4 linked regions of the Medicago truncatula genome follow. The main gene of each other region encodes a partner of the protein of the gene in region 2 in a complex. Links are inferred from orthologs where the notes say so. Each region holds a gene or a part of one and is shown on either strand. Other genes may lie near its edges. The genes, in order: chlorophyll(ide) b reductase NOL, chloroplastic; pheophytinase, chloroplastic; 7-hydroxymethyl chlorophyll a reductase, chloroplastic; probable chlorophyll(ide) b reductase NYC1, chloroplastic.

The links.
Region 1: pheophytinase, chloroplastic (region 2) and chlorophyll(ide) b reductase NOL, chloroplastic share a complex: the UniProt entries of both Arabidopsis thaliana proteins name them as parts of the SGR1-CCE-LHCII complex. The link is inferred for Medicago truncatula from reciprocal best matches to the Arabidopsis thaliana genes PPH and NOL.
Region 3: pheophytinase, chloroplastic (region 2) and 7-hydroxymethyl chlorophyll a reductase, chloroplastic share a complex: the UniProt entries of both Arabidopsis thaliana proteins name them as parts of the SGR1-CCE-LHCII complex. The link is inferred for Medicago truncatula from reciprocal best matches to the Arabidopsis thaliana genes PPH and HCAR.
Region 4: pheophytinase, chloroplastic (region 2) and probable chlorophyll(ide) b reductase NYC1, chloroplastic share a complex: the UniProt entries of both Arabidopsis thaliana proteins name them as parts of the SGR1-CCE-LHCII complex. The link is inferred for Medicago truncatula from reciprocal best matches to the Arabidopsis thaliana genes PPH and NYC1.

The regions. Positions count from the first base shown.
Region 1 is NC_053049.1:16,823,071-16,830,560, reverse strand, and holds the start of chlorophyll(ide) b reductase NOL, chloroplastic, read left to right. Parts: upstream 1-4,479; coding exon 4,480-4,723; intron 4,724-5,693; coding exon 5,694-5,762; intron 5,763-6,398; coding exon 6,399-6,460; intron 6,461-6,556; coding exon 6,557-6,643; intron 6,644-7,202; coding exon 7,203-7,270; intron 7,271-7,347; coding exon 7,348-7,396; intron 7,397-7,475; coding exon 7,476-7,490. Other genes in the region: DExH-box ATP-dependent RNA helicase DExH3, read left to right, coding at 40-192, 293-403, 527-1,000. UniProt on the Arabidopsis thaliana protein: Required for chlorophyll b degradation. Chlorophyll b, chlorophyllide b, pheophorbide b and pheophytin b can be used as substrates. Belongs to the chlorophyll catabolic enzymes (CCEs).
Region 2 is NC_053044.1:11,853,798-11,861,103, reverse strand, and holds the start of pheophytinase, chloroplastic, read left to right. Parts: upstream 1-4,292; 5' UTR 4,293-4,454; intron 4,455-4,676; 5' UTR 4,677-4,693; coding exon 4,694-5,428; intron 5,429-6,014; coding exon 6,015-6,241; intron 6,242-6,481; coding exon 6,482-6,673; intron 6,674-6,753; coding exon 6,754-6,910; intron 6,911-7,306. UniProt on the Arabidopsis thaliana protein: Alpha/beta hydrolase dephytylating specifically the Mg-free chlorophyll pigment (pheophytin), yielding pheophorbide. No activity on chlorophyll. Belongs to the chlorophyll catabolic enzymes (CCEs).
Region 3 is NC_053042.1:17,899,645-17,906,548, reverse strand, and holds the start of 7-hydroxymethyl chlorophyll a reductase, chloroplastic, read left to right. Parts: upstream 1-3,891; coding exon 3,892-3,952; intron 3,953-4,203; coding exon 4,204-4,373; intron 4,374-5,367; coding exon 5,368-5,479; intron 5,480-6,720; coding exon 6,721-6,805; intron 6,806-6,904. UniProt on the Arabidopsis thaliana protein: Probable iron-sulfur flavoprotein that converts 7-hydroxymethyl chlorophyll a to chlorophyll a using ferredoxin as a reducing equivalent. Catalyzes the reduction of a hydroxymethyl group to a methyl group. Belongs to the chlorophyll catabolic enzymes (CCEs).
Region 4 is NC_053047.1:40,284,789-40,292,575, forward strand, and holds the start of probable chlorophyll(ide) b reductase NYC1, chloroplastic, read left to right. Parts: upstream 1-4,778; 5' UTR 4,779-4,925; coding exon 4,926-5,273; intron 5,274-5,894; coding exon 5,895-5,973; intron 5,974-6,130; coding exon 6,131-6,266; intron 6,267-6,376; coding exon 6,377-6,451; intron 6,452-6,552; coding exon 6,553-6,748; intron 6,749-7,121; coding exon 7,122-7,190; intron 7,191-7,282; coding exon 7,283-7,422; intron 7,423-7,787. UniProt on the Arabidopsis thaliana protein: Involved in chlorophyll b degradation. Belongs to the chlorophyll catabolic enzymes (CCEs).

The sequences.
Region 1 (7,490 bases), on a different chromosome or scaffold from region 2:
TTCTTCATATATGATTTTTTTTTTTATGATTTTATCCAGAATTCAGTGAATGCAAGGTACCAGACTATTCCCTACCCATGGTTGGTTTTTGGGGAGAAAGTAAAGGTCAATGCTGTTTTCATCCGCGATTCCACTGGTGTGTCTGATTCAATACTTATCCTATTTGGTGGTGCTTTAAGTAATGGGATACAGGTGATTTCTTTGTATATATTTTTCTTCCATTAGAAAGATAAGGATCCAAATATTTCAGTACAATAACTTGCCCTTGTTTTTTCCTCCCTGATGGGTTTAGGCCGGGCATCTGAAAATGTTAGATGGATATGTTGACTTCTTTCTGGATCCTAATTTAGCTGACTGCTATTTGAAGCTTAAGGACGAACTTGATAAGCTTATCCAAAAGAAGGTTTGCATATTTTTGTTGTTGTAATTGTATTCCTTCTTTCTTCTTCAAAAAAAAAATTGTATTCCTTCTTTACTTGTCAATACAAAACAATGCTGAATGATAATGGATTTTATAATAATGCAGCTAGAAGATCCAGGCATTGACATTCACAAGGAAGGGAAGTATTTGATGCTTGCTGTTCAAGAATTGGTTTCAGGGGATCAGTGTGAAGGAAGATTTGTGTTTGGTCGTGACAGCCGGAAGCCTAAGGCCTCTAACGACGAGAATAAATTCACTAAAGATGGAACAAACCCCAAGAGCTTGCTGCAAACACTTTTGATGCGAGCAGGGCACTCCGCACCAAAATATAAAACAAAACATCTGAAGACAAATGAGTTCAGGGCATTGGTAGAGTTTAAAGGAATGCAATTTGTTGGCAAACCGAAAAGGAATAAGCAACTTGCAGAAAGGGATGCAGCTATAGAGGCATTAGCTTGGTTAACTCACACCTCTGACAATGCTCAGCCTGAAGACGATAAATCTCCTCCTGATGTCACTGACAACATGTTAAAACTCCTAGGGAAGCGTAGAAAATCATCGAAACGACGTTCTGATTGAATTATTATCAATTGATCGTTTTTTAGGTTAGTTTACCCATTCTGGTGTCCTACATGAGTTTCTCCTAGGCATTATTTAGTGGCTCCTGATTTCGTTATTCTCATTTTCTCCCTTTTTTGAATTTGAAAGGGCATCCAGTTTTGGCATTTGGTTTGCACTTGAAAGGTTGATTGAATGAATATCTTAGTCGTCTCCTTCAAGCCAAATCCAAAATATTTTGTAACCATTATGTACACTAATGTTTATATTTTTTATTTATATATGGTAGGTACAGTTTTGGCAGTTACTTATATAATTTGTACCGGGTCATCATCTTATAGATGCAATAAGTCGTCTCCCTTTTTTGTTTAATATTGCTAGATGAGATATGTAACATCTGTTTTGTACTGGGTAATATTGAGTCAAGAAAACAAAGACATAAAATGATGAAATAACCTCTAAAAAAATGATAAAAGAAATTGAAAAAAAAAATGTTGGTTCAATTTTTAGTGAACTCTCCAATTGTTTCGAATGCGACCAGACCTCACAATAGTTTTGTGCTATGCTGCTCTGATAAGTCAGCTAGCATGAACCAAGGTAACTTGTGCTTCGACATCAAAGAATGCTGTAACTCTACGGTCCGATGACATCAAAGCATGCAAAATTTTTTAGAGAAACTAAAAGTTGAAGGAAAATTTTAGAGGGATTAAAACGAAAAGTTAATATATTTATAGGGACCAAAAACATATTTAACCCTTAATCTTATTCTTTCAAATAATATAACCTATGTGGGCCATTTAATAATTATAAACAAACAAAAATTGTACATAAGCGTATCAATTGACAACTGCTTTCCCAATTCCATTTCGCATGGCATCGTTTAATTGATTTCTTGTCTTTACATTGCACATTGAATTGAAGTAGCAGAGGAGGGATTAAATTACATCAAAATAATATTACATCAAAATCGTTTTACTTGATTCATATTTGTCAATACATTTATGCACAATTTGGTAAAATAAAATACATAAGTTGATTTAAAAATATGGTGAGGAGGGGGGCCGGCTGAAGGAGGGGGTAGATTTGGTTCGCCTTGGTGGCGGATGCTTTGTAATATCCGCGGGGGGGGTTGGAGAGGGTGCAGGAAATTGGTTTGAAGGTAATGTCCGTCGGGTTGTGGGAGATGGTTCTACTACCTTATTTTGGTTTGATAAATGGGTTGGAGAAATGCCTTTGCGATTTAAATTTCCTCGACTTTTTGACTTGGCTGTAAATAAGGAGTGTATGGTGGCGGAGATGGAGAGGGAGGGGTGGGAGGTGGATGGTCGGGCGTGGTTGTGGAGACGTCGTCTGTTTGCTTGGGAGGAGGAGTGTGTGCGGGAGTGCTCCATATTATTACATAACGTTGTTTTGCAGGTTAATGTTACCGATAAATGGTGTTGGGCACTTGATACTACTCATGGTTACACTGTACGAGAGGCGTATCGATTTGTTGCTAATAATGGTCATCAGGTGGATAGGAGCTTCGTTGACAATGTGTGGCATAAGTCTATTCCGACAAAGGTTTCGTTGTTTGTTTGGAGTTTGCTTCGTAATCGACTTCCGACTCGTGACAATCTTTTACGACGAAATATTCTTCATCCGGCAGCGGTCTCTTGCACGGCTGGTTGTGACGTGACGGAAACAGCGCGCCACCTTGAGTTACATGATCATCACAAGCATTTCTGTTTCATGGCGGGACTTCCTAGATGCACTCATGTTTTTATGCAAGGAATTTGGTATTCTTGCGCTTGGGTTATTTGGCAGAATCGGAACAAATGCATTTTTCAAAACGAGCCTTTCGATTCTCACGGTTTACTAGACAATGTTAAGCGTTATTCATTTTTTTGGATGAAAGCAAATTTTAAATACTGTAGTTTTAACTGGTATGATTGGTGGACTCACCCGCTTCTTTGTATGGGGGTCCTTTATTGAATTATTGTGATTTGTGGTAGGGTGGTGCCTGTGTTTGGGCATTTTGTACTTGTAAATATTTTTCGAAATTCCACTTTTTGCACGCCTTGTGCGGGGTGTTATAGCCGGTGTTATTAATATATATCATTTTAGCTTGTGCTAAAAAAAAAAAAATATGGACCAAAAGTTGTGATTGTAAATTTCATAGAGACTCAAATGAAAAGTGTATATTTATAGTGACAAAAAAATAAATTTAACACTATATGTAATTAGAGTAAAGTAGGGGAATTCAAAATCACAAATCTATCGAAAAAGATCGAAAACAACACAAAACTGCCAAATTTGAATTTGTATCGAACCAAACCGAATCACATACATAAATATCAATACTTATTTTTCAATTACAATAATATATCGCTTTAATCTATTATTTGTTGTTTTCTTTGAGTAAAAACTTAGAAGTTAACTATTATTATTTTACTATTTCAAACATTAACTATTATTATCATTCATAATTGTTATTTTTTTAGTATAGTATAAGTTATTTTTTGCATCAAACCATTGATTTTATCATAAATTTAAAATATTATTTTCAATAGATGTTTTCACGAAATTGTAATTTGAATATTCAAAATCCAATCAAAATTATTCCGCATAAAATTGGGTTGGATCGGAGTTTTTAAGAAGTCATCCAAGCCGAACCGCATTACGACTATTTAAATTATTTGAATCGAACGAATTTTTGGTCCATAACTGATTCAAACCGCACTACAAACACCCCTAGATAATAATATTTGTATCATTTTTTTTTCTTTTTGATGGTTAAATTTAGGTTAGGTCCCTCCATGTTTCTTTGTATTTTCTGTATTATTTTATATTATTTAACCCTAGTTTAAATAAAGGTAAATTCTTATTTACAAATGAACAAAACTGAGTGGAGATGACACATATGAATTATTATCAATTGACTCCAATCAAAATAATTAATTTGTCTTTCACTATTATGTTATACATCCTTAAAAAAAATAAAAAATAAAACTATTATGTTATCCAGTAAAACATTGAAGACAAATAAATAATTTTCATTGGTGTCAACTTAGATGAATAATCATATCCTCCTTTATTAATATAATTGTCATCTTAAAAGGTATAATCGAAAAGAAAATCAAACTATCATTATACATAAACAAAGAAAATGTTAACAAATGTTTTTTGATAAAAAAGTTTAAACTAACTTTTTTTTATGATTTATACATTCAAAACATAAAAACTAACTTTTTGTAAAAAATAACTTTTAAAACGTCATAAATAATACTTATTATTCTTTTTTTTATCAAGTAGTCTAGTGGCTAAATGAATAAGTAGGATGTCCGGAGTTCGAACACCGACCCCTGCACATATTGTGCATTATCCCTTAACAAATGAGTTAGCTGATGGGGACTAAACAATACTTATTAATAATCAAAATTTGAATGATTTTATCCGCAAAAATAAAAAGAGTAAATAGAAGAAAATTGGAAGTGTTGAGGCTGTAGCAGTGAATTGGCATGGCATCATCAATGGCTTCCTTTCAATTGCTTTCTTCTCATCAGCTTTGCATCTCTCCCTTCTCTCGTCTGCCTAAATTCAACACGACATTTACTTCCTGCACCCCCAACAGCAACAATAATAACCGCTTCTCTCTTTCTCTCACTAAACCAACTTCTTCATCCTTTCTCATCATAACAGCTTCTTCTAACGACAATACCATGCTTCCTCCTTATAACGTTTTGATTACTGGCTCAACCAAAGGTCTTTTCTTTTTGGATAATTTAAATTTATTTGTATTTATTCTTTGATGGTTGAATGAAAGTGTTAGTATTCAGTGAGTGGTAAAATCTTGATATGTACATGGTTATATCCTATTCAGATGTAAAATAGTTGAGATAAGATTAGAAATGGCAATATTAGATTAAGAGTTCAGGTAACAATTTAAGTCTGTTTTGGATTGTTTTATTTTTTAGCTTATGCAAAACAATTTTTGCAAATAAATAAGCTTGTATGTATTATTCATAAGTTTGTCTAAGGTAGTTCATGAAAAAACAGCTTATGAAGATACAATTTTCGTTAGTGATAACTTATGAATCAATATAAAAGTTTATTTATTTGCATAAGCTATTTTGAATAAGCTCAAAATTAAGTCAATCCAAACAGAAACTTAGTGTATGTTTGGTTCTACTTCTAAAGAGGCCAAATTTGATTTTAAGTTGTAGAATTGATTCAGACATGATTGGATGCTATCGAGTAGAATTGATTTTGCCTTCAGAGTTGATTGTATTTGAAGCTAGAATTTGTAGTTTTTAATTTTAGAATTGATTTTTAAACACAAATTTATTGTTCAAATCACTTTTACATGAATGTATTCAAACACAAATCATTTTACCTTCAACTCACTTTTAGTCTGAATCAATTCTTGTCACCGTAGAACCAAACATACACTAGAGAGAAAACCTGTAGATCTTGTAGTAAGGAGAGTATATTAGATGAAGGGTAGTGAAATCACTAGATGCACGGGAAAACTTAGAAAAACTATAAGAGAAACGATTAAGAAGGATATAAAGATTAATGAGTTGGACTGAAATATAGTTTATAGTTTGATCCATGTAGCCGACCCAATTTAGTGGGATTAGGCTTCGTTGTTGTTGTAACTTGTAAGTTTTGCTTGCACTTTAGTTGCTCATTTTCAACAATTACCTTGAATCATATTTACCTTATGATTTAGGGATAGGGTATGCTTTGGCGAAAGAGTTTCTAAAAGCAGGAGATAACGTTTTAGTTTGCTCAAGATCAGGTGTGGATAACTTCTTGGATTTTCATTATGTTTCAACTATGCATTTGTTTATTTGTTCATGCTATATACTTCAATATCACTTCAAGTTATATGTATATCACTCTGCTATCGATTCATCAATGATTGATCTTTCTGTTAATCTTTCCCTTGGTTCCTTTGGATAAATTATCAATTTAGTTCCTAAACTATCCAAATATAATAAATAGTTCGTAAAGTATATAGAATCCGTCAATTTCGTCTTTGATCGTAAGATATTTGGTGCTAAATTCACAGTTTCCCGTTTCCATATACTTTAGGAAGTAAACTTACGAATTTTATATTCTATATGAACTACCTTTTTTTTCATAGTTTAGGGACTAAATTGAATGCTGGTTTTATTTTCTTTCTATTTAAGTTATGGGTTTTAGGAAAAAAAGGGAGAAGAATGAAAACAAATATGATTTCGGTGTAATACGATTGATAATGATTTGATACTAACTTGGTATAAAAATATAAGCACCAATCACTTTTGTGTTATTGTTTGTCTCAATTTACCTTGTGAATTATGACTGAGTGGTTGGGATTTCACAGTCTTGTTTATCTCATTTCCATGACTTTGTTTTTGTTTTCTCTATATACCTTGGTATTCATTTATAGATGAAAGGGTAGAGACTGCAGTCAAGAGCTTGAGAGAAGAATTTGGGGAGCAGCATGTGTGGGTACCTCCTCTTGAACTTCTATCTTAGTAGAAACCCATCTACGATAAATATATCACTCGTTTTTATGTTCTCATGTTCGCATTTTGTTTCTTGCAGGGCACTACATGTGATGTGAAAAATGGAGAGGATGTGAAGAAACTAGTTTCGTTTGCTAAAGAAAAACTGAAATACATTGATATATGGGTACTAATGTCTGATTTCTTTTTCCCATTGAAATTTTTATTTTGCAATATGAGTAGAAACTTTTTGCGAGGATTTAATTGGTTCTCATTGATAAACTCATGGTTTGATTGATCTACTATGTAAGCTGACGATCTTAGCGAAATTCTGGCCATCTTATTTTCGTAGTTAGATTCACAATCATCATCACTTACACTTAGCATCAGCGATTTTCCTTCCTTCTCCCCTTTCCCTTCAATTCTTACACTGTTTATAATTTGAAATTGTCTCGTAGCTATATCATTGTTGTCAATTATGGCCATGGTGGATCGTGGTGGAGGGTTTTTTGATAACAGCCATGGCCAATTTGTTACAGATTGCTGCACCATGGCGTTTTATGGTGAATATGGTCGCTTAGAGTGATGAATTTTTGGCTTTCCACCATTATCCACCATCCGCATTTGATAACACAAAGCTATACCAATATTTCATTTGTTTTAACTCCCTAATCTTATTGAATGTGTTTGTTAAAATATACTTTACTAATTCTTTTCTTTCTCGGCCTATGCTGAGAATGGTGTAGATCAATAATGCTGGATCAAATGCGTATAGCTACAAGCCACTTGCCGAAGCATCAGATGAGGATCTTATGTGAGTCACTAGACCTTGCACCCTAAATATCATTCTTACATTTTATTTCTTTGAAATTCTTAATTCTGTGCATGCAGTGAGGTGGTTACAACAAACACACTTGGCTTGATGATATGCTGTCGAGAGGTAAAATATATTCTCATGTAAGAGGCACTGTAAATAAAGTAGGTGCTCTGTTATGCATGGATGTTTAGTTTCTATTTAGGCAATAAAGATGATG
Region 2 (7,306 bases):
TTAGACAAGTTTTTGGATCAAATTTGGGCATAGGGAAGTTAAAATTGAGATTTTGGGGGTGAAAAGTGAGTTTTTCCCGAGTTGCTCTCTGACAGCACGTCCTGTTTCATGTGTTTGCGTCTTTTTCACACGTTTCTGTTTTGAATTGGCCTTTGGTGTAAACATGAAAGTTGTAGATAATTGAGTTAGCTTTCCAGTGGCTTTGGTTTGATGTGAAAATGATTTTTGGCTCTTGAGATATGATGAAAATACTCCAAGGAGGTCTAAGTTAATCCAAAACTTAAGGAATAATTCCAAACCTCAAAACTAGAAGTACTATGAGTTCAACTAGGGTGTTTAAGAGTATTTAACCTATGTTGTGATAGATATAATTTGGTTTGACGTGAATATCTTTGTTGGATAATTTGAAATACATATATTATGTGAATGTTGTTGTTGAATAATTTGAGTTACATATATTTATGTGGAAAATGTATGATATAGAAAATAATGTTGTTATACCATTCAAGTTGTTATTATTAATGATGTTATGTTGTGAAGTTGTAGTATGTTGATGTTTCTGCTGTATTGATTATTAAATCATTAAGTTGCATATGTTGGTCAAGTTGTTAAAGTTGTAAGTTGTTGTCAATGTCGTTAAAGTTGTAAGTTGTTGTCAATGTCGTTAAAGTTGTAAGTTGTTGACGATGTCGTTGAAGTTGTTGGTTGTTGTTGCATTAGTTGTTGAGTCCATGCATACTCATTTACGTTGAAGGCTTGATGCTCTGTGAACTTTTGCTCTTTAAGTTGAGGGCTTGATGCCATGAGAGTGTATTTATGCTCAATACGTTGAGGGCTTGATGCCATGTGAGCTTTTGCTCTTTAAGTTTAGGGCTTGATGCCATGGGAGTGTATTTATGCTCAATATGTTGGGGGTTTGATGCCATGGTTGGTACCACATGCATGATTAAGAGGTTGTAGTTGCATTTTTTTGAGATGGTCTAAGATGAATAAGAAGTCTAAGTTGCATTGTTAAGTTGAAGTTGTGTCGTTGTTGTTAAGTTGCTATTTACCCATGTGTCGTTAACGAAGTGCTTATGATGATGATTATGATGTTGATTATGTTGTTATAAGATGAAGTTTATGATGTGTTGTTTATGTTGTTATAAGATGAAGTTTATGATGTGATGACTTATATTGTTATATGATGATGATTATGATTTGAATATTATGTTGATTGAACTTTGAAGGAAAATTAGTTAATTATTCCAATTATGTTTTAAGAAAAGAAGTGTGACATTCCGTTTATGATGAATACTCTGATTATTTAAATGGAAATTTTATGTTGGGAAAACGGGGTGTTATAACGATCCTATTATACTTATGTGTAAATAGTTTTATGAGATGTAAAAATCCTACATCATTCTTAAAAGCCAAACCAAACACCATTGAAAACTCAATTTTTCACTTTTGATAATTGTAGAATCACTTCTTGATGCTGAAAAGCCAAAACAAACAGGCTTAAGTGATAAATCGACTTCTGTTAAGAATAAATTGTTGAGCATCTTAACTAGACATATTTTAACACGTACTTTTACAATACACTTTACAATAAATTGTCTATACACTTTGATACGCACTTTACAATACACGTATTGTTGAGCATTTGAACTACATCTGAACTACAGATTATCAAAGCTTTCACCGTAAAAACTCTTGAATTTTTACTTGCTGTTTTGGAAAAAATGAGTACTAACATCACATTCTTTGACATACCTTTTTTTTTTAGGCAAAATAAAAATTATATTAAACAAAAAGAAAGATACAAAGATTGGGGGGCATGAGACCTGACCCAAGTACAATCTATACAGGAATACATCGTAATAAACCGTACCGAGAGGACCAGTCCTAATCTATTCTTACAAAAATTTACTAGTCACGGACGCAGCCCAACGAACCCGCGTACGGGCACGATACCGAGCTAAAAAAAAAAATGAAGAGTGAACTTTTGCAAAAACACAGTTAGGATTTAAAAAATATATTCTTTGACATACATTTTCAAACACTTTCATTTTTTATAATTACAATTTTAGTCCATCTATATTTACTATTTTGCAGAATTGTTCTCCATATTTAAAAAACTCATAATTTTGGCATATGATTTTGTTTAAAGAAGATAATTAGCTCACTCAAATTAACACCAGAGAGAATTTGTCGAAAAATAAATAAAAAATACCAGAGAGAATCGAAGTTGTGACCATGAGAAAGAACACACTCTAAGGTTACAAATCAATATCATCAGACTAACCCAAGTGGATTTGTCGTGATATATGATCTAGTGATGAAAATCAACATCAATTAAGTTTTAAAAAAATTCCTTAAAAATATCATTTTAAACATGTTATGTCACGATATATTAGACCAAATAATTGATGGGTGTATCAAAATTGTCAAATTTTAAAATAGGAGGATCAATTCTCCAAAATGGTGAAAATATGAGAATCCAATCCGCAATTAAGTCTAAAATTTACTACCTAGATCTTACTAAATTTTGTATGTCCCATATAAATTTGATTGGATGCGTTCAAAAATGTGTGTTGTAAGCTATGTTATTTTGAAAAACCTATTTATTGTCGTCTCAAAATATAAGCAAAAATGAATTAACATATGTTGATGTATTTGATACAAATTTTGGATCAAATACATTAATTATATAGGCGTAATTACCTTTTTGGTCCTCTAACTATTTAATTGGTATCAGATTGGTCCTCTAACTAAAAAATGATTTATTTCGGTCCTTTAAGTTTCTCACCGTTACTAAATTTAGTCCTTTTTGTTAGTTTTATTCAAATAAACGTTAGGGTTTATGCTATGTGGGCACTTGACCTCCTATTTCACACATACATATGAACCATAACAGTTACCAATAATATCAGTCACTATTTAATCATAATACCTTAACAAGGCATAGGACCAAAATGATACTAATAAATAAAGTTAGAGGACACACATAACAGAAACTCTAACGTTTATTTGAATAAAACTATCAAAAAGGACTAAATGTAGTAACGATGAGAAACTTAAAGGATCGAAATAAATTATTTTTTAGTTAGAGGATCAATCCGATACCAATTAAATAGTTAGAGGACTAAAAAGGTAATTAAGCCTAATTTTTATTGACCAATTTTTACTTATACTTTGGAATAGATGGAGTATGTCAAAATCACAATGATCGATAAATATATCAGAATTACAATGATCCATCATTATTTTCCAAAAACTACACTTTTTACCTTATGAAAAATCGTGGTGGATCATAGTGATTCTAACATCGGTAGCATTCTATCAATCATACACTTGAATTCCTACCATGTTGGACACGTGTGTACTATAAATCAAAACTAATGTGTGGCCAATATGAAATATTGGTGGTGGGTAGAACTTTGGCTCTGTCTAATTTTGTCCAAACTGCGTGCGTTGTGGGGATGATTCCTCTGTAGAAGACAAAACCAAACTTATCACATGTTTTCTCAGTTTGCAAGACAATTATATTTACCTAATAGAAGACTTAATATTCGAACATGGAAGCTAGTTTAATTTATTTTCTTTTTAAACTAATTTCTTAATCAACTAATTTAAAATATTAGGTTTCAGGATTTCTTCTTAACTAAATTAACAAAGTTCCTCATTTTAACTTAATTTCTTCATCCAACTCCATCAGCATAGTTATATATAATATATATTATATATAATCAGCTCCAAAAAAAACATGGTTAACTTTATATTAAAAAAAGTCGTAGTTAATTTAATCTCTTCATTTAACGAATACAAGGAATACTTAATCATCGCTCCACTATATAATTTTAGATTCAATATTTATATAAAAATAATAAAAAATTAAATTGGATATATCTTATACGCATAACTATAGAGATTAATCATTCGAATTAAATAAGTTGTAATAAATGAAAAATTTTATTAAATTTATGAACTTTGATTAAATTAAAAGAGAAATATTATCATCTCATCTAACTGTTTTTAGATAAATTTTTTCTTAAATTTAATTTAAAATTTAATAGACTTTTAAAATAAATTTTGTATAAGTCATCTAATATTATAGTAAGTCTTTTTTAGTTTAATAAACTATTTGACTTTTTTTATAATTATTATTAAAATGAAAAGAAAATAAATTATTATTTTTTAATAAATTGAAAATAAATTATATTTATCAGATGCATTTATTAAACAAAATTTTATAAATACCAAAAAAAAAGTGTGTAAGTGTGTATAAATTAAACTCATAAAAATATATTATTCGGTTTTTCTTGGCTCATAGAGGAAGTAGAATCTTCCAAGCAACTCTAAACTATTGTATATCTCTCTTTGGATCTGCTCTTAATCCTATAACAACTAATATATACCAGATTCTTTGAGTAGTTCTAGATTCTCATGCTTCTTCTTTCACTAAATTTAAGGTAATGTTTCCATAAACATGTTCATGTTTTTATTAATTATCACATGTTCATGTTTAATTGATGTTTGAAGAACTAATTTTTCTAGTTTCAATTATTTGTGTATGAAACACATATAATATTTGATTTGTTCTAAAAAAATTCATATTACTTTGTTCATGTTTTTGTGAAAATCAAGTTGAATTTTTAGCATACTGAATCATTTTCTGTTGTTGGTTTCTGTAGAACATAGTTGCTAAGAAATGGAAACTCTTTCATATGGTTCTGCACCATGTTGTCAAGTTATGAACACAAAGACAAAATCAGTTAAAAATAGTTCGAATTCAACTCAATCAAGGGTTTTTTATATTAGAAAAAATGGAGGTTTTTATATCAATAATCTTTACACAATTGGGTCATTGAGATTTTATGATAAGGGTAATCAACAAAGTGGGTTTAGGTCACAAAGTGTTTTTGAAGGCTCTAAAAGACTCAAATTTAAGGTTAATAGTGGAAGTTATGGTGATTATGTGATTAATGAAGGTGAAGGAAGAGATATTGTAGGGGTTGATGTACCTGCTTCAAAGGTTTTGATTCCTGGTTTACCGGATGAATCAAACGGTGAATCCGGTGCGGTTATACGTAGTTGTTTTAAGGGATGGAAACCTAAATTGAATGTTCATTATGAGAAAGCTGGTTGTGAAAATTTGGATTCTCCAAATGTTCTATTTTTGCCGGGTTTCGGTGTTGGTTCTTTTCATTATGAGAAGCAGTTGATGGATTTAGGTCGTGATTTTCGAGTTTGGGCGCTGGATTTTTTAGGACAAGGAATGTCTTTGCCTTTTGAAGATCCTGCTCCTTCGTCTAAGGAAGGAGGGGTTACATCGAGTGGAAATGTTTCGCCTTGGGGTTTTGGAGATGAAACTGAACCATGGGCGAATGAGCTTGTGTATTCGGTTGATTTATGGCAAGATCAAGTTCGGTACTTCATTGAAGAGGTAAATGACTTGCACTGTTTGGTAGCAGCAAATATTTAGTTATTTTAATCCATTGTTTGCTCAAATAGTATACTGGAAAATGTTCTTGGCAAATTTGCTTGTTCCTATGTGGTTTTAGATTTTTTTTCTAACAACTTATGCTGGATTATTGTCTAAAAAAGAAAATTCTGTTTGAATTGACTTATTTGAGATTATCTACTAGCATAAGCACTTGAGAGACTGTTTGGCAGAATTTATAAAAACAACTTATGACATATCTATAAACTGTTTTCAGCCTATTTCCCTAAGCTCTCTAGGATAGCTTATGAAACAGCTTATAGCTTATATGAATACAGTTTGAATCTATGCTATAAACGCTTAGTTAAGTTGTTTATCCAAACGAGGTTAGGTAAATCGATGTAGAAGTACTCTTGTATTCCATAAATAATGTTGTCTGTAATCATCAGCACTTTAATGCTTCCTATACTTATAATGCTTACTCAAATATGTAATGTTGCTGAACTTTTCTGCACTATCTTCAAAAATAATATTTGAGGAAGTTTTTATATCACTATAATCTAAATGTTATTATACAAATTCGTTTCAGGTCATCGGTGAACCGGTCTATATTGTAGGCAACTCACTAGGAGGATACGTTGCTTTATATTTTGCTGCATGCTATCCTCATTTAGTGAAAGGCGTGACATTGCTTAATGCAACACCTTTTTGGGGGTTTCTGCCAAATCCAGTAAAATCTCCTGGACTTGCCAAAGTATTTCCATGGGCCGGAACATTCCCTCTACCTTCAAATATAAAGAAACTTACAGAGTTGGTGTAAGTATGGCTTCATTTTTATTTATTGCTTCGTTTTTTTCTTAGTTCCTGATATGATTTAGTATTTTAGCTGCGAACTTCTGATTAGTACATTTCTTGTATGTCGCCAATATAGTCATTCATTTGCGAATATAATAGTTGATCATCTGAGTGATATTATACTGCTGATAGTACACCTCCAGGTGCCCTTTATCATATCTATTACATTTTACCTGATTCTTATTAATTTGTTTCCTTTAGGTGGGAGAAAATTAGTGATCCGAAAAGTATTGCCGATGTACTTAATCAGGTTTACGCAGATCATTCAATAAATGTGGATAACGTTTTTTCACGCATAATCGAAACCACAAGACATCCTGCTGCGGCAGCCTCATTTGCTTCAATTATGTTTGCCCCCCAAGGGGAATTATCCTTCAGCGAAACATTATCAAGGTAGACACGACTAAATCTTTAACTAGTATTAGATATACGTGATACACATGTTAATGGTTTTTGCGGTGTGTATGTTTTAGATGTCGAGCGAACAAGGTGCCGATTTGCCTCATGTATGGAAAAGAAGATCCTTGGGTGACACCTATATGGGGACTTCAGGTTAAAAGGAAGGTTCCTGAAGCACCATATTATCAAATCAGCCCTGCTGGTCACTGCCCTCATGATGAAGTCCCTGAGGTATGCAATTCCTGACCTATTAACTTGAACAATTCTTTCTGTTCTTGCTTCTTTTTAAGTGCAATATATGTTAAGAGCCGCACATTGGATACGAGTTAGGCCTGAAAATGAATTTGTAAGTTGGAGGCATCCCTCATCTTACAAGCTAATTCTGTAGGGTTATGTTAAGCGGTTAAGCTCAGCTGTAATTCTTAGATCATAAAAGAGTTTATGCAAGATCTGTTGGGCCACCTGCTATTGAGTCTATGAAGCACAGACACTCCTCGGATTAGGCGTGTTCCGATGCCGGACACGTGTTGTGTCTGACACCGACACATAATTACACTGAATTATGTGATTTTCTCAAATTATTAGCAATGTCAGTGTCCATGTCGTGACTAGTGTCCGTGCTTCATA
Region 3 (6,904 bases), on a different chromosome or scaffold from region 2:
TCCCCCCACATAAACTTTATCCCAAGAGGAATACGTTCGACTATCATACAAAATCTTTACCATTCATTAAGTGAACCAATTCGAGTAGCATCGACTCACTTCTTCAAAGCGATACTCATTTCCACCGTGGGAGGGAGCTGACAACATGCAACCCCCTCTCTCCATAAGTAGTCGAGATATGAATAACATCATTCGTAGCACAAATGATATCTCTCCATATGATTGCATCTCCATAGAGGAGTCTCCGACACCACTTCCCCATCATATCTTGGTGAACCAGCCTCTGATCTCAAATCCCAAGACCATCCCCCTTTCGACTTAGGCCGACACACATCCTCGAAGCAAACCCAAGATATCCCAGTGCCCCCTGTTCTACCCTCCCTAAACGAAGCATCTCTCTAGCCAAACTTTCCTCTTCCATTCCTTGACATGGATCTTAATTAACGAGAGGTAGAAGATTTCAATTGAATGAAGCATAAAGTTAATTAAGACCACCCTCCCACCCAAATTAACAAACCTATCACTCCATGAACGTACACTCTTAGCAATAAGCTTAACATCAGGTTCAAATGTCCATTCTTTACTAGGATATGCCCCGACAGGCACACTTAAATACTTGAAAAGAATATACCTCACTCTACAATGGAGGAAGCTAAGATAAATTTAATGTTGATTTCGTATTTGAAGACAATAAAAAATATATTGAAAAAAGAATAACAACTTTAGTAAAAAAAATAATAAAGAATAACAATCATATCTAAAAAATTGTAAATGATCTTTATATGCGGGGATAAATTAGCATACCCCATAGTCTTTAATATGATAATTTTTATAAAAAGAAACTAATATTAATGAACTTATTTAATGTTATAAAATCGATAATTTTCTAAAAAAATATCCTTAACATCTTTGTTACTGCTAACTTGTGTCGGTTTTGGATTTTCGATTGGTTTATGACTTGATTTTAAGTTGTCCTTGTTTTGGGGAAGTTTTCAAGCTAAGCCTTTTTTCGATCTGGTTCTGTTTAGGTTACCACTCTATTTGAAGATTGTTCGAAGGATTATTTCCTAGGTTTTGGTGGGTCGATTGTTCTTGCTTCAGGATTGAGAGTTAGTGTCTATGTCCAATTATTTAGGTTGATTATAGAGTCTTCTCCGGTAGGATGGGAGTTGTGGGGGTGCCTTAGTGATTTGTCTATAGTATATGGTGGGTCAATCGCTTTTGATTCAAGATTCATAATCAATTTTTTGACTCAATTTTTTTGCCTTGTTATGGTGTGTTCTCTGACGGACCGGAGGTCGAATGTAGGTAGAACCTGAAGGATTGTTGGAGTAAGCCTTTTCTTTGGTGTTTAATCGAGCTCAATTGTGGAGATGAGAAGATGATGTTCTGTTTTCGAGGGTTTTGATTGGTTGGATGGCTTGTTTGAAGCGTTATGGTGAGTAGTGGACAATATATGCTTGAATTTTGTTTATGTTGTCATTCGCGAGGAAGTGTGGGGTCTTGATTTGACTTAAGTGTTGACTTTGATTTTTGGTGGTTATTTTTCTTATTGGTGTTGGTGGTAGCACTGAGTTTGGTGTTATGGTTTTTTTTTTTTTTCCTCGATGTTCCATCTATATAAGACTTCTTGTTTTGTAGTTTTAGTTCATGTTTTTCTTCTGCAGAGACTTGATTGTTAAACGTTGTTGTTTCAAAAAGAAAAATATTCACTTTGTTGAAAATAGTTTCATTTTCTTAAAATAAAAGCAAATCCTTAAAGAATATTATTGTTACAGTTTTACTTTTAACCATGTTCATGTACAATTTTAATCTTGAATTTATATATTATTTATTAGCAAAATTATATAATTTTTTTTATATATTTTTATATCAGTCATTAAGATAAATAGAACATAATTTTTCTTCAATTTTTTTTTTTTTTTTTTCATTTTACACACTACTTCCGTTGAAAATAATTGTTGCAGTTTGACCATGTACACTACTTACGTAACTTACTTTGATCATATTTATTATTAATATATAAAGAATAATGTTAATAAATAAAATATTGTTTTATTCTCATAGTAAAGATTTTTAAAATATAAATTTTAATGATTTTTGCTAATAAATTATTTAAGATATTAATGGTCAAAATTATGCATTGACATATATAAAAATTAAAATTGTAACAATTATTTCAAGATAAAGGGAGCACCATTGTTCTTTGTATATTAGTAAATAAAAATGATCAAAGTAAATAACTCGTTAACAAGACCCATATTTTAAATGATCAAAATCTAATACTTAGTTTGAGATGGAGTAGTAGTTAGTTTTATATTCCTTTCGTCTCTTATTATAAGTCTCTTTGACTAATTTCACATATTAAGAAAAGTAGGTAGTGTAGATAATATATCAAATTTGTGTGTGAATTTTACTAAATTGTCCTTTGTTTATGTGTATTTAATTTTCCTTTTTATATTCCAATGCAATTTAGTTGTATTAATTAGGGATATATTTAGGAAAAAATAATAAATGCATCTAATAATTTGTATAAGCCTTATATTTAGACAAGACTTTTTTCAAAGAGAGCTTATAATTACGGATTGTTGGAGTAATTAAAGACAAAGGAAATTAGTACACATGATCAAACTCTAACACTTTGTGCGGAAAAGAAATTTTTTGTATGGTATATTTTTTCTTTTTGTTAACCTTCGATTTTCTAGTAAAAGTTGTCTAGTAATTTGAAGTGCGTTCGAGAGTAATTTAAGTTTGGTCGATTATTATTTCATCTAGGAATCAAACTTATGTTCTTTGGAACAAATTGTCTTTTTGTAGAGTCGATTAACCACTTTTTTTAAGCAAGTTCATTAACCACTTGAGTTTAATTGTTTGATTAAAATTTTCGTATGGTATTAAAAATTAAAATTAAAACTATTGATTTATTTTTCAGTTGATCAAATTATATTTTCGTTCTCTTAACTTAATTTGCACATATATTTTCAAATTGTAAATATATAACCTTCTTCGTAGGGGAATTACTCATCAGGATGACACCTCTTGCATTGGGGGGGGCGGTTGTTCTGAGACTGCGGCTCATCTCATTCTTCATTGTGACGTCTTCGGTTCAGTGTGGCACTATGTTTATCGGTGGGTAGGCATTTCTTTTATTGCTCCAGCTACAGTTGGTGACCACTTTCAGCACTTTGGACAGTTGGCAGGTTTGTCGAGGTCTGCTAATTCTTTTCTAACAGTAATCTGGCATGCTTGTGTTTGGGTTATATGGAAGGAAAGAAATAACAAGATTTTTCAGCAAAAGTCATTGACTTCGGATCGTTTATCAGAAAGGGTCAAGATTATGTCTTTTAATTGGCTTAAGGCAAATATGCCCAGCTTCGCCTTCAGTTATAATGACTGGGGACAACATCCTTATTATGCATGGGGTGTGCTGGTGTAGCTTTTTGTCTATTTATTACGCTGTACCTTTTGAGTTAAGACTGTACCAAACTTTGTTTTGTTGGGTGTTCTCTTTTGCACATTTTGTGCAAGATGAATCACCTTTGATAAGTTAATATATTTCATTTTGGCTTATTCAAAACAAAAATTCATATATAACGGAAATGAAAAACCATAGATTTAAAGATTGAGAGAACATAAAAAAATGAAACCATAAATTTTAAACATGAAATCCATATGAAAATAAATCAAAAAGGAAATAATAAAATAAAATAAATAAATAATTAAATTATTATCTAAAATTTTGTTAAAAGACCAAAATGTTATTGTGCCTTTTTTGAATTTTATTACATTAGAAATCCTCTTCTTCTTAACTTTGTTGTGTGGAACAGAAAAAGCCACATCATCATCAGTGTTCACTCACTCACTCAGCTGAACTGAGTTTACTGCTAAGCAATGTCTTCTCTCTCTTCGCTACCTCTTTCTCTCTCTATTCGTGCTTCTTCTTCATCACAAGGTAAAGTACTACCTACCAGCTCTTCTTTTTCTCTGCATGCTATGAAGCACTCTTACGGACACATGAGACTTACACACGGACACCGATAATAATTTGATAAAATCACATAATTCAATGTAATTATATGTGTAAGCGTGTCCGTATCAGGGACATGCCTAATTTGACGAACGTCCGTGCTTCATAGTGTGCATGCAACCTTCCTTCACTTCTCTTTTCTCATATCAGTCTTACCCTTCTTGTTTTGGTAGCAGAATCCTCCATTTCAAAACAGGACTGGAGGAAAAGGTCAAAACCTATCCCACCAGGTGGAACCTACCCAGCTAAAGATCAATGCAGTCGTTGTGGATTGTGTGATACATATTATATTGCTCATGTTAAGAATGCTTGTGCTTTCTTGGGAGATGGAATGTCTAAAATTGAAGTAAGTCTCTTTAATTTATGAATGATGCTTATCTATGTCATGTAAATTTTACTCTTCAAATTGGTTAAAAAAATTTGTTTTTTGTTTTTGAAACTTTTATGTGATATGAAAGGACTTTTTAATATTGTTTGTAATTGTTAGCATTATGTCAGATGTAGGGATCAAGTTGATTTTGTAAGGCTGAGTTAGTCTTAATATAAAAAAAATAATATGGTAGCAGAGCTATTCATTTGGGTCATCCGATATCGACTTGGGTTGGTCTGATGGTGTTAACGTGAGACCTTGGAGTATGCTCCTCGTTAAGGTCCCAGTTTCGATTATCTTCGGTGCCAATTTGGGTGGGCTAGTTTAGTTACTTCAAAAAAAAAAAAAAGTTATCCAAGCATTAGGTCCAATAGTACTGGGCATGAAGAGGCCAGTGTTGTAATGATGAGTTAGGCCAAGTGTAAAACATAGTAGGACTTGAAACTGAAAGAGAAAAGGAGAGGAACCCTTTTCTTCTCCGACTTGAGTTTTATGTTCGCTTATTTCACAAAGTTACTAACAAAGTGATGATTTTTGGGAACAAAGCTGTGTTGCTTAGCCACATTAATATCAAATCAATTAGTTTGCACCTAGTGGAAATAATCAATAAGCAGCCATTCTAGTGTAGAAGAATCTGGCATTTGAACTAGATTTACTTTTTCAACAAAAATGGTTCACTTCTATTGAATGATTACTTGTCAGGACTATGTTAATGTTAGTACACTTTGTTGCACAAAGCTGATAAGGAATTATATCAAATTGAAATTTCAATATGCAGCAGTTATTTCTTTGTGACTTCAGCATTAAATTAAACTTCATTTATTGTATGCCTAATTCAAGCATTGCCTTAATATTCTTATAAGCATTAATCATGAGAATTTTCATAACTGATATAAATATATCCAGAAAATGACAAAGTTTATACAAACCAAAATTGATTGGACTCTTTATCATTCCTTTTCTGTTTCAGAAATTGGAACCTGTTGTTCATGGTAGAGGGAGAAAAACTGATACCTTAGACGAGACATACTTAGGTGTCTTTGAGGAACTTCTGTATGCTCGGAAACTTAACCCTGTCGAAGGTATATTCTGACTTTAAAATTGTTTAACTCTTATGCTTCCTCGTTCTAATGAGTATGACACTATCAAATTCGAGAATCTTTGAGTGCAGTGTATTTATTGCGCTCAAGTTTTAGAGTTCAAACTATAATTTTGTTATGCTGATAAATAAGCATTTAAAATTATTCTGTTCTGCTTTTTTAGTGGGACCTCTTGGCTATTCTTTACCTTTTAAGAAGCATTTTTTCAATGGTTTCTCTGATATGTGACATTGGTAGGTAATCCCTTTGTGGGTATTTAGATAATTGAATAGTTAGGCTGACTATAAATACTAAATAGGGAGGACAGATCAGCTTGTCATTTGAAAGAATACGGGCCTTTTGACATTGAAAGGTGGGAAAACCCTCAAAGCTCTGCCACTATTCTATAAACCAGGAAATTGTTCCCCATTTTTTGTTGCAAGACCAGTTTGTTCCTAGCATACTTTGATGGCCTCCTAAATTTATTTAGGATCATAGAAATTAAGATCACACCGAAATGTTTCATTGATATAACTATTTCTGTTTCCTTTAGTATTTAGTTTGGAGTAAGGCTTCAATGTCAATGTCTAACGCCTAGTTTGGATAAACAACATAATTAAGCGCTTATAATATAAGTTATGTATAAGCTTTTTCTATAACAAAACGATAAAATAAAGTCAAGCTGATTTCATATAAGCTATAAGTTGTTTTCATATGCTATCATGGAGAGGTTATAGAAACAACTTATAGCTTATGGATACTTCATAAACTGTTTCTATAAGTTCTTAGCAGTTTCGCAAGTTTGTATTCTAGTAGTTAAGCTTAAATTAATCAATGCAAAGAGGCCCTCATTGAGCTTTTGGACAGACCAGAAGCTTAACTGTAATTTAAGATTGGAAAACATTATATAGCACGACACATGGTTGTTGTCAAATGCACACGACGTGTATTCTGCCAACAGCTATTTCAGTTTTTTAAAATTATTTTAATCAAAATTTAATTTAAACCAAGATGATGATGCCATGTAAACAGTCGTACCTGTCGTGTGTGGATTTTGTCGTGCACAATAGCACAGCTCTTTAAGAATTACTTGTCTTGTACAATGAAATTGTGTTTCGAAATGTCCTGCAGTTGCAACTAATTTCTTGATTAAATTATTTATACAATTATGTCTATGATGGGCATAGTCATGTTATCAAAGTTCTGATGAACAGTTTTACTTGTAAAATTCGTTCTGTTCATAGGAGCTCAATGGACTGGTATAGTAACAACCATTGCAATTGAAATGCTTAAATCAGGCATGGTTGAAGCTGTTATCTGTGTACAAAGGTATCATAAAAAATCTACATGTTTTTATTGGAGTCATATTTCTAGTGTCTTTTCGTTCTTTAATCTGACTTTATTTTCTGTGTAATTAACTTTGATCTA
Region 4 (7,787 bases), on a different chromosome or scaffold from region 2:
AACATATCTAGGTACACTTACAAAACCTAATGTTAATAGTGAGATATAACCTAAAATCAATTCAAAATTGATCAGAACTTGAAAAGCATTAAGAACAACATATATATATATATATATATATATATATATATATATATATATATATATATATATATCACATAAACATATCTTGAATCATATTAAAAAAGGACCCATAGATCAGTCATTCAAAATCTATTAGAGTTTAAATACACATGATAACAGTAACGAGCAACATAATTCAAAAGGTAAAAGATAAACACATCAACAATGGTGTAGATGTTCCAACTTGTTTCCAAGCCCTAAAAAAGTGCCACCTTAGGGTTGTTGGATCTCACCTTAAGCTTCAGAGCCGTCAAAATTTGGATCCCTAGTTTTATAAACTAGGGTTATATAGAAATCTTCCAAGCCGCACATACGCTGAAGGTGGGTGCATAACACAAGAATGTGGGGGTTGAGTTATGTTTATGGGTTTCTAAACTTTTTTACTTTTTTTTTGAACAAGTCAAAACTTTTTTACTTATAAACCATTACCACTAACCCCAAAAAATCATTACCCCTGAGGTAGCTTGTCGACAGAAGGTTAAATGCAATAGTTCTTTATTAACACTTAATTTTGTGTCAAAACAATAGAGACATGATGAAGTTAAACCATAAATAATTTGACCTAAGAAAAAAGACAAACAATATATATATAGAGAGAGATACACGACACATCAAATTTATCTTGGTTCACCATCAACCTTATTGGCTAGTACAGTCACCCTTTTCAAAGTGGTTTTCACACTCATCATTTATCCGGTTAGCCAACCATGATGAGTTACCCAACAATGATCATGACTTAGACCAATCTACTCCATCATCTCACACACATGAGGACCGATGTATAGAGTTTTTGCAGATTATTCCTAGTGTTTTGAGGCTCAGCAAACTTTTACAAGATTGCCACTACTAGGCATGGTACATACAATATTTAAGTTTGTACCTTAAGGATACAAAGTCATGGCTAAGAGGACAACTCTCTATGATGAATACGAATCTAGAACGAAATCGATAGGAAAAAATTAAGAAATTGAAAATGAACCAGAAACGGTGAGAAAGTAAGAGAAAACGAAGGAAAAATGATTATTAAAAAAATAAATTGAGAAAAGGAAAATTTAAAAGAGAGAAAATGAAAATTGAGGAAATTAAATTTGCTCTGATATCATATTATGAAACGTATGAAATATAGAAAAGATAAAGAGAAACTTCTTAAAACTCTTATCTATTGGTCAAAGTTGAGATGTTACAAATGAAAAATTACATTCTAATAATGTAGAGATTTAAAATGAGGCTTTGTAATCTCAACCATCTATTTTTTATTCAATGATTGACAATTATTCTCATCATTCTCATTTAAGATACTCGTTCTCATAGTATATGTCTTCTCTCGTAACCAAAAATATTATATGTCGTCTCTATATATATATATATATATAACACTCATGATTTGAAACCAAATCTAAGCTAATGCATACAAAATGTTGGAACAAGTATATATCTCAACCAACTCATTTGAACTAACTTCATAGCCCACACACCCAAGTTACAGCTAGACTATTATGGACTCATTGCATGTTTTTCTTCCCCCTAACTTAATTGTTTTGACTAACTTCAATGATTTAAAATAAGAAATCCTTAAATATTGACATCCATACATTTCCTTAACTTTAATAATATTTAGTGTCTAAATTATATTAGTTATTATGAATTGGTTTATTGTTCCATCTTCCCCTAACTTGCTGCTAATTAAACCACAGTTTGTTCATGCTTTTTGTCCCTAAACTTGATGAAAACTTAATTTATCAGCTTATTTACTTTTGAGGGACAAAAATGTTTTTCTTATTTTGAGAAGGACTAAAACGAGCTTCTCATATTTATATGTGAGACTAAAATGAGATTTTCTTATTTTTAATTATAATAGATGATAGTAATATTTGCATTTAAATGGAACAAAACAAACATTGTTTGTAAGGCCAATGTCAAATGGAAATACCGATATCGTTAGACCTAACGTTTTTCGTGGCTATCCGAATTCGAATCCAGAATCATCCTTTGATGTGCGTAAAATCACTTTATCTGGAGGGAAAAAAAACCATCATAATCCCTATCCATCATTACCATCAAATTCAAAGTGCATAACATTATCAAACTCAATAGCACCCGCAAGTCTAACACACAATGGTCAAATAAATGCAACTTCAAAATCCAAAATATTATGGTAACACCAAAATACAACCAACGAAACATGTAGAAAATCTAAAACACAATCCAACTAGTAAAAACTAGAAAGAAGCAGCAAGAAGATGTTATTTTTTTAAAGTTAGAAATTTTAAAATAAACTATGTGATTTGAAGGGATTTAAAAATATGGTGACCAAATTGTCCCCAAATATATTTTTAGGGACCAAAATATCTCAATTCATTTTAAATATACGTGGTCAACCACATGACAGGAATTTTTTTTTTAGGGAATGACAAGAAATTGATAATATTCCCTCAAAAAAAGAAATTGATAGAACAACTAATATTAGTTTTTTTTTTTTCCTTAAAAAAAAAAAAACTAATGTGTCGTTAAAAAAATTTAAGATGAAATTTACTTTATCCTACAGACGAGAAACTACTTTTGCTTTTGAAATATACTAGAAAACCCTAGGGGGGCGTTTGTTTGACGGTTTAAAATTTCATTCCTGGGATTAACCTTTCCTGGGAAATAATAATGGGCATCTTATTCCTGAGTATTTTTAGAAAATTGTGTTTGGTAAATAATTGTCAGATTCATGGGAATTGTTTGTGATAGTGGGTATATGGGTAGTTATTTCCATTTTAGTACCATTTACATGGGAATCTTTTATTCCCGCCCACTTTCTTTGGGAGTAAAATCATGGGTAAGTGGAAGTTATTTTTTTCCTAGGAATTCTTTATTTTCGGGAGTTATTTTTTTAACTTTGTAACAAACATAGGAATCTATAATTCCAACCTCCATATTCCTGGGAATAATTTTTTAAACCAGGAAACAAACACCCCCTAGATATTTATTTTATTGCAGAAAACTCTAAATTTGACCGTAAAATAAAAAGTAGATTTGAACCCAAATCTAAGCCAAGCTATTTACATACACAATTTGTTTTTTTCAACTAAAATAGATACAAAATGTTGGAACAAATATCTCACGCAAGTTGATTGTTTGAACTAACTCTATCTCCCTGGCTCCCAAGTTGGAACAAATAAATATCTCACGTAAATCTTAAAATATATAGTCAAAGGTTTAATTCTTTATGTATGTATGAAAAAAATCCGATTAAGAGAGTAAAACCCAATTTATTTACCCCATACATTCTTTAACGGAGATTAATCACTAATAAACATCGATGAAAACTTGCTACAAATTTCATTGTAAAAGAAAACCATCAGACTACATTTGTGCTAGATTATGAATTCTTCCCCAACGAACGAAAAAGCTAGATTATATATTCATTAACATGCATTTCTTCCCCTAACTTTATCGTTTAACTAACTTTTTTGCCAAAAAAGAAGAAAACAAACAAACTTCAATAATTGGCCATGTATTAAAAATGCTTAAAAAATAACATCCATGCATTTCCTTAACCTTAAAATTTCAAAGGCCTAACTTATATCCTTCTCTTTTCTCTAAACTAAGACAACTTTAACTAACTTTTTTGTCAATAAAAAACAAAACTAATCAACTAACTTCAATAGTTGGCCATGATTTAAAAAATAAAATATAAAAGTGCTTAAAATATGACATACATGTATTCCCTAACCCTTAATAAAATTAATTGCCTAACTTTATATCTTTTCTTTTCTTAATCTAAAATAATTTATTTTGAATTAAATGAGTTATGATAAATCGTTCGAAAGAATTCAAATTATATTTTTAACTGGAATAATTTTTTAATCAAATTTTATTTATCTATCGATTGAATTTTAGACTATTAGGGTGTGTTTGATTTGTAGAACAGTAAGTATTGGACATAACAGTACAAGATAGGACAACACAATATAAGGCAGAACAGCACAATACAAATTTTTATGGTATTGAATAATTTTCTGTATTATTTGATTTTTGGGTGACGAAATGTTATTTTTGTATTTTAGAAAACTTGTACGTGAGACAAAAGGTTGTGCTGTGGTTTGGCGATGGACAAAAATTGCAGCTTTTGTCATGTCCCTTGCCTCCAGTTTGTCATGTCCCTGAAACTGTTTTACAAATCAAACACTGGACAATTGGAGTTGTTTTGTCATGTCCTTCATTTTTTATCAAATCAAACGCACCCTAGACTTTCTTTTTATCAAATAATTTTGTGGTTGAAGCTCGCACATTTTAAACGTGGAGAAATAAGGTTGAAGCTCACACATTTTAAATATGGAAAAATAAGTTCACACATTCTAATAATTGAACTAAGCTCATAGAGATTATTGAACTCTCTTCGTAGAAGCGAACGATTAACATGAAAAAACAATAATTTACTTTCAATAATAATCTATCTAAGTCTAAGAAAAATCCAAAAGAAAAAGTGTTCATTTTTCACCTCACACTAACAAAAGAAAAAAGTGACGTGTCTAAAGACCCACAATGCCACGTGTCCATAACCGATAATGATGAGGTTTCTTAACGTGTGGTCATCACATTCCATAATGTTCCTTCTTACGTTACTATTATGTTACATTTTTCCAATGAATCGGTGTTACTCAGTTAGATATTTTCGCAACACACAAAATTACAAAAACATAGTTATCAATTCTCACCAAAATCACAACAATAAATAAACCAAACATGTTACATGAATTCAACACATTTATGTACCAATAATATTGTAACATTTTTATGAACTTTTTATCTTAAACATGGCTACTACAATTGTTAAGCTTCAAGTTTTTCCAGAGTGTAATTTGAATAAGCATAAGCTTAGAAATGGATTTGGTAGCTCAAATTCTTCATCTGGGGTGTTTGGTTTTGGACAAAATTTTGGTGGGTTGTGTTTGAAAAAGTGTAGGGCTTTCAAGAGTGAAGATGGTGGTGATGTGAAGGAGAAAAAGTTGAGAAATTTGAAGAAAAATGAAGTGAAAGTTCAAAGGGAAAATGGGTTTTGGAGTAATTTTAGAAATGTTTTGTTGGGAAATTTTATGATGGGTTCTAAGTTGGATGATGAGTATAGACAAGCTGTTGTTAGGGTTGATGAAGTTCTATCTAAGGTGAGTTCTTGTTTTTGATGTTTTATCATTTTTTAATCTGTTTGGATAATTAATTGTTTCATATAGCATAAGCACTTATCATATATGTATTTATGTACTAGTTGTTTGTTAGGGTTGATGAGGTTCTATCATTCTTGATTCTGTTTGGATTACCAACTTAATTGAGTGGTTTTAGCATATAAGTGCTTATGGATACGCTATTTCTATAACAAAAGATAAAATTAAGTGTTTATCTATAACTTGTTTTCATATGTTATCTTGGAGAGTTTGGAAACTTATGTATAGCTTATTTCTATTACAAAAGATAAAATAAGTGCTTATCCATAAGTTGTTTTCTTAAATTATCTCGGAGAGTTGCAGGAAATAAGTTGAAAATAGCTTACAGAAATAAGTTAAAAATAAGCTGAAAACAGAAGTTGTTTTCATAAATTATTCCAACCAAACAGTCTCACAAGTACTTGGTGTCACAAGTGCTTATTCTAGTAGATAAGCTCAAATAAGCAAATCCAAAAAGGCTCTTGCTGTGTTGTGTTATTTCCACTTAATTTTTACTTTCAATTTTGTGTTGTATTGTATTTTGAATGTTGAATATAACCGTGTTCTTGTATTTGTGAAAACAAGATTGCTGTTCAGATTGGGAGATATATTGTGACCATGATGAGCACTGGTGTCATCCTTGCAATTGGATTTCAGATGTCAGGTTGGTATATATATTCTACTTTCCTATTTTAGAATGTGTATTGAAAATATTTGCACTTATAGTCGAGTTTCCAACTATAGTGTAAACAAGTTTTACACTAACGTTCAATCATACCTCATATCATATATGATGTTGATTTTTTGGAAATTTTGTGAAGGTGGAGATAGTCAGATGGATGCACTGATATGGTATAGTTGGCTTGGAGGAGTTATCATTGGGACAATGATAGGTGCTAACTGGGTGTTGGAGGATTATTGTCGCGAAGGTCCGCGTAATGTTGTCATAACTGGAAGGTACGTTCACTCACTGATAGTATTCTAGAAATTGATTTCCAACATTTTTAGCTTTATTTGGATGCATGTTTAAAAAAAATTAATGCTGACATTGCTTTATTTGTGTGCAGTACGAGGGGATTGGGGAAAGCTTTGGCGCGGGAGTTTCTTCTTTCGGGAGATCGTGTGATTGTTACTTCACGAAGGTGGTATCACAAACTATGAGAACATTTTATAGAGATCAAATTAATATATTTTGTTGCTCACAACGTGTTTTTGCTCCCGCTCTCGAATTTTGTGAAGGCAGCCCTGAGTCTGTGCAAGCAACTGTCAAAGAGCTTGAGGAAAATCTAAAGGAAGGCATTGCCAATGCAGTTGGTTCATCTTTGACAAAGCTTTCTCAAGCAAAAGTTGTAGGCATTGCTTGTGATGTTTGTGAGGCTAATGATGTTCAGAGATTGGCAAACTTTGCTGTCAGCGAACTTGGTTATATTGACATTTGGGTAAGTGTGGCTGTTCTTTCTGTTGAGAACTATGTAGCTCTGACACTTGAGATTGAATGTGTCTTTGACACTTGACACGTGTCGGCATTAGACGCCAACAAGATACTGACACACGTGGTTACATTCAATCACTTTCATTTTCTTAAATAATATTTTTACAAGTGTCAGCGTGTCAGTATTAGTATCTTGCTCGGTGTCTGTGTCAGTGTTTCATAGATTGAGCATCATTGAGCTAATGAACCCTACTATCGATTTTGTTATCACTTCAATGAAAGTTTTATATTGGATTCCTTATTTCTTGCTGAGTGTGGTTTCTGCTTTTTGGTCCTAATCTAATTTTTCGTATTGTATTTTTATTCAAACTACTCAACAGATAAACAATGCTGGAACAAATAAAGGTTTTAGACCATTGCTTCAATTCAGCGATGAAGATATCAAACAGGTATGTTGCTACATAATTTCTTTTTTATTTTGTTAGAATATAAAGGCTGTTCATCTTCATCCTTAGCTTGAAAAGTTGGTTTATTTCTGTAGATTGTCTCGACAAATTTGGTTGGTTCTATCCTTTGTACCCGAGAAGCCATGCGTATTATGAGAAACCAAACCAAGCCAGGCCACATATTTAATATGGACGGTGCAGGTTCTGGAGGCTCTAGCACACCTCTGACAGCCGTGTGAGTATTCTCTTGATATTGTTGTTTCTTATCTTGGGATGTTAATTCCACTGAGCTTTTGCGATTTAAGGGCTTGTTTACTTTTTCATGATTCCTGTTTTCATTTTTACTTCAACTAATAAACATGATAGAATATAGATTCAATACTCTTCTCACCATTTCCTTTTACAGTTGTTAAAAACAGATTCAACATTTTTTAAGAAATTTTGAAGATGCCAAAAATTGTTTTTGCTGTTTCTCAAAATGCATTCTCCCTAACTATCCTTCTATCTTCTCTCTATCACATATATTCACTACATCAGTCTTCTACCACGTTGTTAGCAATTTAAAATGAACACAAATTTAAGTTAATGAAAATACAAGTA